Linked DNA regions of Anolis sagrei. The protein of the gene in region 2 interacts with the protein of the main gene of each other region in a pairwise test. Links are inferred from orthologs where the notes say so. Each region holds a gene or a part of one and is shown on either strand. Other genes may lie near its edges.

Evidence for each region.
Region 1: the proteins of AGR2 (region 2) and FABP2 interact in binary tests that used the Homo sapiens proteins (3 or more experiments, as listed by UniProt). The two-hybrid records come from large-scale screens. The link is inferred for Anolis sagrei from reciprocal best matches to the Homo sapiens genes AGR2 and FABP2.

What each region holds. Positions count from the first base shown.
Region 1 is NC_090025.1:35,489,056-35,492,983, reverse strand, and holds the start of FABP2 (fatty acid-binding protein, intestinal), read left to right. Parts: upstream 1-867; 5' UTR 868-980; coding exon 981-1,047; intron 1,048-3,005; coding exon 3,006-3,178; intron 3,179-3,310; coding exon 3,311-3,418; intron 3,419-3,928. UniProt on the Homo sapiens protein: FABPs are thought to play a role in the intracellular transport of long-chain fatty acids and their acyl-CoA esters. FABP2 is probably involved in triglyceride-rich lipoprotein synthesis.
Region 2 is NC_090026.1:96,009,391-96,013,318, forward strand, and holds the start of AGR2 (anterior gradient protein 2 homolog), read left to right. Parts: upstream 1-1,184; 5' UTR 1,185-1,276; intron 1,277-3,928. UniProt on the Homo sapiens protein: Required for MUC2 post-transcriptional synthesis and secretion. May play a role in the production of mucus by intestinal cells. Proto-oncogene that may play a role in cell migration, cell differentiation and cell growth. Promotes cell adhesion.

The DNA.
Region 1 (3,928 bases), on a different chromosome or scaffold from region 2:
ATATAGAAAAGCCTGCTCTCAGGTCAGTCTCTTTTGCCCCTGTGAACCGAGACACAATAACAGCTGGCTCTCTGTTCAGGACAAGCTGGTCTTGTTTGCCTTGGCTAACCTCTGTTCACTTTCACAACAGGTATTTTGCATTTCAAAACTGAAGGAATCAAAATACAAGAGGCACAAACTTCAGGTCTGGGGGGGGGGGGGGGGAGGAAACCTATCAGACATCTTCCAGGGTAAACATGGCCAGGAAATAGTCTAGTTTCCCATCCTCATTTGTAGATTTGTAACTTGAAGAAAGGGGCACCTTCCTACAAAATCTGGAAGGACAGAATAGAGGCAAATCTGTGTTCTTTGTGTAAGCCAATATTTGTTTGTTTTTTTTTCAGCTTGCTGAGAAAAGACACTACTGCTACTACAACTAATATTACTACTAATAATAATTGCTCGCTTGTTGGAATAAATAGAGTTTCAGTGAAGCCACGGCACAACCCTGGTTGGTTCTTTTCACCCAAGAACCAACTGAGGACCCTTCCACATAGCCATATAATCCAGAATATCAAGGCAGAAAATCCCACAATATCTGCTTTGAACTGGATTATCTGAGTCCACATTGCCATATAATCCAGTTCAAAACAGATAATGTGGGATCTTATTCAGCTGTGTGGAAGGGGCCTCAATCTGTTAGTCTAAGCTGCCCTTGTGGTGACAGTAAATTCATTAATCACAGTTACCTTCAACAAAATCCTGACAAATAACTCCACAGGCTTTGCAGGCTTTACTCAAAGGGAAAACTCAGAATCAATAAAGGAGATTTACTGTATAGCGTCATGTGACTAATTGCACTTTAGTCAGCCACATCGGTGTGTGAATTGCTTTCAAGATAAGAGAAGGCATATATTTCTGGACAAAGCTGTAGTATAACCCTGATTGTACAGAAAATAAAATCACGTCTGCTTGAATCTTCCCTATCACAGCTGGCAGTCATGGCATTTGATGGCACCTGGAAAGTGGAGAAGAGTGAAAACTATGAGAAGTTTATGGAAGTAATGGGTGAGATATGCATTCTTTTTGCTTCCTATCAGCAGCCATGTACTATATCATTGCGTTGGAAAGATCTGGAGGTTCTTTCACACTACACATATAGTGCTATGATTCCAGTTTAAATGCCACAGGCACATCCTATAAGAGGCTGGAGATTGTACTTTGGAGAGCTTTCTGATTGAGAATTCTGAATGGCCTGCCCTAAAATGCAAATTTCAGAAATCAATAGATGTTACCAAAGCAGTGAGAGACGCCTGGTAACACATACAGGCGTCCCCTGGGCAACGTCTTTGCAGACGGTCAATTCTCTCACACCAGAAGCCACTTGCAGTTTCTTAAGTCGCTTCTGACATGATTAAAAAAAATGCAAAGCAGTTAAAAATGAAATGACGATTGTATAACTGTGTAGTGTGAAAGGGCTCGTGGTTACTTCATTTAATTCACAAGGTTAGTCCCTGACATTCTACTTTCTTGTCCTCATGGAAACTACTAACATTGCATTCTAAATCTTATTTCTTTGCTCTCCAAACTGGTTTTTCCTCAAAATATAATGGGATTTACATAAGAGTTGATTCAGCCCTTGATTAAACAATCTGCTTCAGTTGAGACCTGCAACTGAAAGAGACCAGCCCTTGTCACTTTAAGTGTTAAGGAAACAGAAACTTGGATCCAGCCTTCCTTCAAGAATAAACCCATAGGACAAGTTGGTTGCGAGTCAATTGATTTTGTAGGGTCTGGATCCTCTGTGTACATGTGTCTTCAAGTTGCTTGTCAACTTATGGTGATTCTATTCATTTCATAATATTTTCTAAGATGAAAAATTATCAGTTTTTATTGCTTGAAGGTACTAGAACAGGCATGGGCCAACTTTGGCCCTCCATGTGTTTTGGACTTCAACTCCCACAATTCCTAACAGCCTACCGCCAGTCCAAAACACCTGGAGGGCCAAAGTTGGCCCATGCATGTTCTAGTACCTTCAAGCAATAAAAACTGTGATAATTTTTCAAGATTTTGCCAAGCTGTTTAGAATTATAGAGAGAACAATAAGAAAGCAAAATGCAACACTCCCCTAAAATCAACGGACTCACAACCAACTTGTCTTATTAGTTTCTTTTTTTTTTAAATATGTTTATTTAGAATATAGTGCTCTAAGGAGAGCTGAAAGGAAAGAGGTGTTTGGTGCACTAGGACAATACGAACGAACACAAAAACAGACAAACAGACAAACATACCACTAGATATGTTACGACAGTATGTCAATAATTAGTTTCAATGGGTTTATCCTTGAATCATGGCTGGATCCAATTTTATGTTTATTATTCTCTTTCAATAACTATCTCAAAATAACATGTAAAATCTCCTCATAACAGACAGACATGATATTATATCCTCACGACAACCTCACAAAAGAAATTAGTCTGAATGATTGCAATAGTTCTAGAGTCGTGTGTGTGGTGAACTTCATCATATGGGTTTAAATCTGTGTCTCCCAGAAACTATTTCATTTTTTCCAGTCATTACAATTACAATCAGACCACCTAGTGGCGCAGCAGGCTAAACTGCTGAGCTGCTGAACTTGCTAGCTGAAATGTTGGCAGTTTGAATCTGGGGAGCGGGGTGAGCTCCCGCTGTTAGGCCCAGCTTCTGTCAACCTAGCAGTTCGAAAACATGCAAATGTGAGTAGATCAATAGGTGCTGCTTCTGTGGGAAGGTAACAGCACTCCATGCAGTCATGCCGGCCACATAATCTTGGAGGTGTCTAGGGACAACACCTGCTCTTTGGCTTAGAAATGCAGATGAGCACCAACCCCCAGAGTCTGAGATGACTAGACTTAATGTTAAGGGAAACCTTTACCTGTATTTACAATTATAATATCAGCCACTTCTGTTATTTTGAAAATGCTTTTTTACAGAACAGAAAATCCTTTCGCTGTGTGCTTAACTTGCTTTTTCATGTACCTTCCTAGGTATTAATTTAGTGAAGAGAAAGCTAGGAGCTCATGACAATCTGAAGCTCACAATCCAACAAGAAGGAAACACATTTATAATCAAGGAGTCCAGCAATTTCCGTACCATAGAAATAGTGTTCAATTTGGGAGAGACCTTTGACTATAGCTTGGCAGATGGAACTGAACTTCAGGTAAAAAAGCCTCGTCTATGATGGTCTGGTCTTGCTTGAAAAATCTGCTGTTAAGAGGATACAAATAAAAGTGATTCCTGTGTTTTGCTTACTGGCATATTAAGAATGCTTTTGTCTTTGTTCATGTTACAGGGCAACTGGGACGTGAAAGATGGTAAACTGGTTGGGACATTCAAACGCAAAGATAATGGGAAGGAACTTTTAGCACTGAGAGAAATTGTAGGAAATGAAATGATACAGGTAAGTTCATCAGAAACAATTGATAGATCTGTTCATTTAAAAAAAATCACACTTGTTTCTTGACAAAGAATGAGTGTAATATTCTTAAACCCTTATTCCTTCATACTGCCTCATAAATACAGAGTGGAATTGGGTATATAAAAAGAAGGCAAGATTGGCTGGCATTTTCCTATCCAAGCCTATGTTGTTTACTGATTTCAGGTTTCTCAACCTGGAGGTTGGGACCCCTGTGGGGAGGATTGTGAGGGGTCATCAGAGGGGTTGCCAAAGGGCATCAGAAAACAAAGCATTTCACAATCTCTGAGGATGCCTGCCATAGATGCAGGTGAAATGTCAGGAGAGAATGCTTCTGGAACATGGCCATATAGCCTGAAAAATCTACAATAACCCTCTGTTGGTTATTGGAGTTCTCTGTGGGAAGTCTGGCCCAACTCTATCATTACTGGGGTTCAGAATGCTTTTTGATTGTAGGTGAACTATAAATCCCAACTACAACTCCCAAATGTCCAG
Region 2 (3,928 bases):
AGAAGAAGGCAATGGCAAGCTTCCTCTGAATAAATCTTGTCAAGAAAACCCAATGATATGGTTGGCAGAGGTTGAAGTATAATTAGAGGGACATGAACAACAGCAAGAGTCATGCCAAGCTAGGCATGTTTGTGAGATGCAATGTTACACTGGAAAGGCATAAAAGGAGAATTTGTTGAAAGAAGAGCTAATTGTGGCCCCTTCTAACTCTATGATTTTGATTAGCTACCAATCAAATTAATTGGGGATACATGGGAAATCAATTGGACTGCAAAGAATGACATCCCAATTAATAAGATCAAAGGGGACTGTGAGGAATATAGACTGCATGGCTCTGTACCCAGTTTGGCATGTAATGAGGTTGTTACGCAGCTGCTTGATCCTTTTAGAGGCTCTATCATGACATAGTAAATGTGGGTGGACTAGTCACAATGTGAAACAATCAAAATGTGACAACCTCTTCATAGGTCGTGCAATGCATCTTCTCAACAGGTCAAGCATGTTGACCTTTCATCAATCCATGTGGTATGGCATTATTGAAAGGACAGAGCATCCCTAGCATAAACCTTCACTTTGCAATCTGTGCAGCATCTCTTAGTAACGTTGCTAGGAAACCGCCACTATTTCAAGCACAGCACTGGCTTTACAGTGAAAGCATGTAAAAACAGTTTTGAAGATGTATATTTTCACACAGTTTCAAAAACCTGAGTGCAGTTTACAGCTATTTTGACAAGTTGGTTCATTTAATTTGGAACCTGCTTGTGTTTTCATAGCCATTTTCCATACATTGGTGTATTGTCATGCACTAAACAATTACCACGTTCACTCTGAATCTATGTCTGAATAGTCAATTTCATTTTCTCAAAGGAATCACAGATATGTGCCTTAGGTGAAAGAATCTATCCAATCACACAAAGACAAATCAGCCCTCAGGCAAATCAGAAGTCTTGATTTATGCTTACCTGGACTTGGCTTCTTGCCCACATTTTAAAATATAATTTCTTAAACCTTCTTAAATGCACAGAAAGTTTACTTTTCTGAAACACTGAGATGATGCTATTCTTTGTTCAATTCTCTGAAAACTTCTTATTTTTTAAATATATCTATAAATTAAAATGAAAAAGTTACTCCATACAGTGGAAGTATTGAAATGCCATACTTCTGGGTGGGGATAAGGTGTGCCCAGGTACATAAATAGGCACTCCACACTTTCCTTGTTCACACTGAAACTTGGAGCACTTCAGCTGTCCCTCAAAGAAGAAGGCAGGCAGAAAAGGTAAGGCTAACAGCACATGCTTGGCAAAGGACTGGGTTTTAAACTCTAATCTTGTGAGTCAGGTTCCTTTTTAACCACCTGCAAACAAAAGACTTGAGAAGTTTTAAGCATTTAAAAGCAGTAGAATTCCAATCGAAAAGAATACAAACAAGGCAATGCTAATTTTCCCCTGCACTTCCATGTTCTGCTAACTATATTTATGATGAGAAAAATGCATTTAGCTTTATAAACAAGTGTAATGCATTTTAAAGGACAGAATATTTGTTGATTTTTACTTTCCATTTTCTATTCACTAGTCTTTAGTGTCTTTTCTTTCTTTCTTTTTGACTTCCTGCTTGGCAACTGGAGGGTTTCTTTCATTTTTGTGAAGATGCATTTTCTTATGTTCATTGATATAGCTTCAATTCACTTTTCTGAGAAAGTGCCAGGAACACATTGCTCTCTCTCTCTCCCCCTCCCTGCCTCCCTTCATCCCTCTCTCTGTCTTTCTATGTATCTGTAAATACACCTTCTGGGATTTCTGTCTACATATTCTTTTTACCCTTTCTCACATGTGAATGTTTCAAATGGCTATTATAATAGTGTTGCGAAAAGACTTGTGCTGAGCAATATTAACCCAACCCACCCCCCAATAACTTAAAATACCTACAGTCACACACACAACCCTTGTAACTTGCATTAACAACTCCTCCCAAAATTCCCATGTTGAATTTCCCTGTATCTCATGAAAAAACAAAATCCTGGTCATGTTTACTCAATTGTGTCCTATGGCATTTATTCTAAAACAAATTTAGTATATCTGTTTAAACACAAAATTGATCTCAAATTTATCTAGAAATTTGATCCTTTGATTAGCAGTCAAAACTTAATTCTGAATTAGTGTGATTAGGATTTAGCTTTACTTGAAGGGAACCCAGTTGGGGTGGGGGTGACCATTCAAGGGAACCTCAGGAAGATGGATAATTTGATATATCAGCCATGCCCATTCCACTGAAGGAAGGGAACTGTTGGATACAATCCACTGAACCCAGATAATGGCAATCCCATTCATTTTCCATGGATCTATTATAAATATGACTAGGTTTGTGCTTTAAATGGGTTTAAAATTGGAGTTTTGACAATAATGTCATCATCATTTGTTTCCAAACAGTTCTAGAATTCACCACTTTGAGTCCCCCTACGGGTGAGAAAAGCGGTATAGAAAAACTGTAAATAAATAATAGAATGCCTAATGAAGTATTTGTTATTGTAGGGTATGTATTGTTGAAGGGTACCTTCAAGACAACCCTAAACCAAACTATATATAACAGGATTATCTTCGGGGGGGGGGGTACCATTGGCTTCTTCTGAGGGTGCTGCAAGTGATACATTCTCAGGTAATAGTGTAAAAGTAAACACATATAGGATTATTCTGCTAAAGTATGCTCACATTTTGAGAGCTTTTGGGGTTTTTTCTGATTTCAAAAGCTATGATGTTTTACTATAGTGTGGTATTATTTAGCTAACTCAAGAGAGCAGTTCTATTGATCAGAATGTAGTAGGCTGACCTTTCTGCCACCCTTGTACTAGTGATGTCCATCCAGTGTAACATTCAAAAGCATAATCCTTGTCTTAATTCCTCCTAACAGTGGGGATGACTGGCAGGAGTCTGATGCCTCCTTATTGACATTAGAACAGATCTTCATTGCTCACAATGACTTCCTATTAAAGTAGGATTGGGAAACTTTTGTAATCCCTAACTATTCCTACACCACTGTCTTGATCATGAGTACATAGGGATCATGAAGACAAATCAGTTACAGATATGCAACTCAAAGTTGTGCATTTTTTTATTTCAACCTCTGTTAAGGCAAAATTTATTTAGTTAAGAAGATGCTCATATGCCCAATTTAAGAACCTTTTACCATTCAAGGTTTTGTTGCCATCAGATTTTAATATGATTGTGAATTGTTCGGAATTATATATTCATGTGTTAAGCAATAGTCACATCTGCAAACTCCACTATCTAACTTCTCTTTTGCATTAGCTAAATAATGCCACACTATAGAAAAACATCATAGCTTTTTAAATAGTTCAGAAAAAAACTTTAAAAAGTGGGTTGTTGTAGGTTTTTCAGGCTGTATGGCCATGTTCTAGAAGCATTCTCTCCTGACATTTTGCCTGCATCTGTGGCAAGCATCCTCAGAGGTTTCCGCAAATGTTGTCATCCTCACAACCTCTGAGGATGCTTGCCATAGATGTGGGTAAAACATCAGGAGAGAATGCTCCTGGAACATGGCCATACAGTCCAGAAAACTCACAACAACCCAGTGATTCTGGCCATGAAAGCCTTAAAAAAATCTCTCAAAATGTCAGCATATTCTAGCAAAATAGTCCTATGTGTCTTTACTTTTACGCTATTACCTGTGAAATAAGACTCCAATAATAGCTGTAAGACTTCATTATGGGTAGCCACATATAAGTTTATGTTATATATAGCTCATGACATACATTTGTTATCTTTTATCCATTGCACCTGAGATGGAACAAAGCAATTTTGTGCTAGCATTTGTGATTTAATCCACTAGAGCTGAAGGTTTGTTCTATTTTACTGTTGTTGTTTTTCTAGCACTTTTTGGTTTCTGTCTGAATAAACCTATTGCTTTTTTTCTT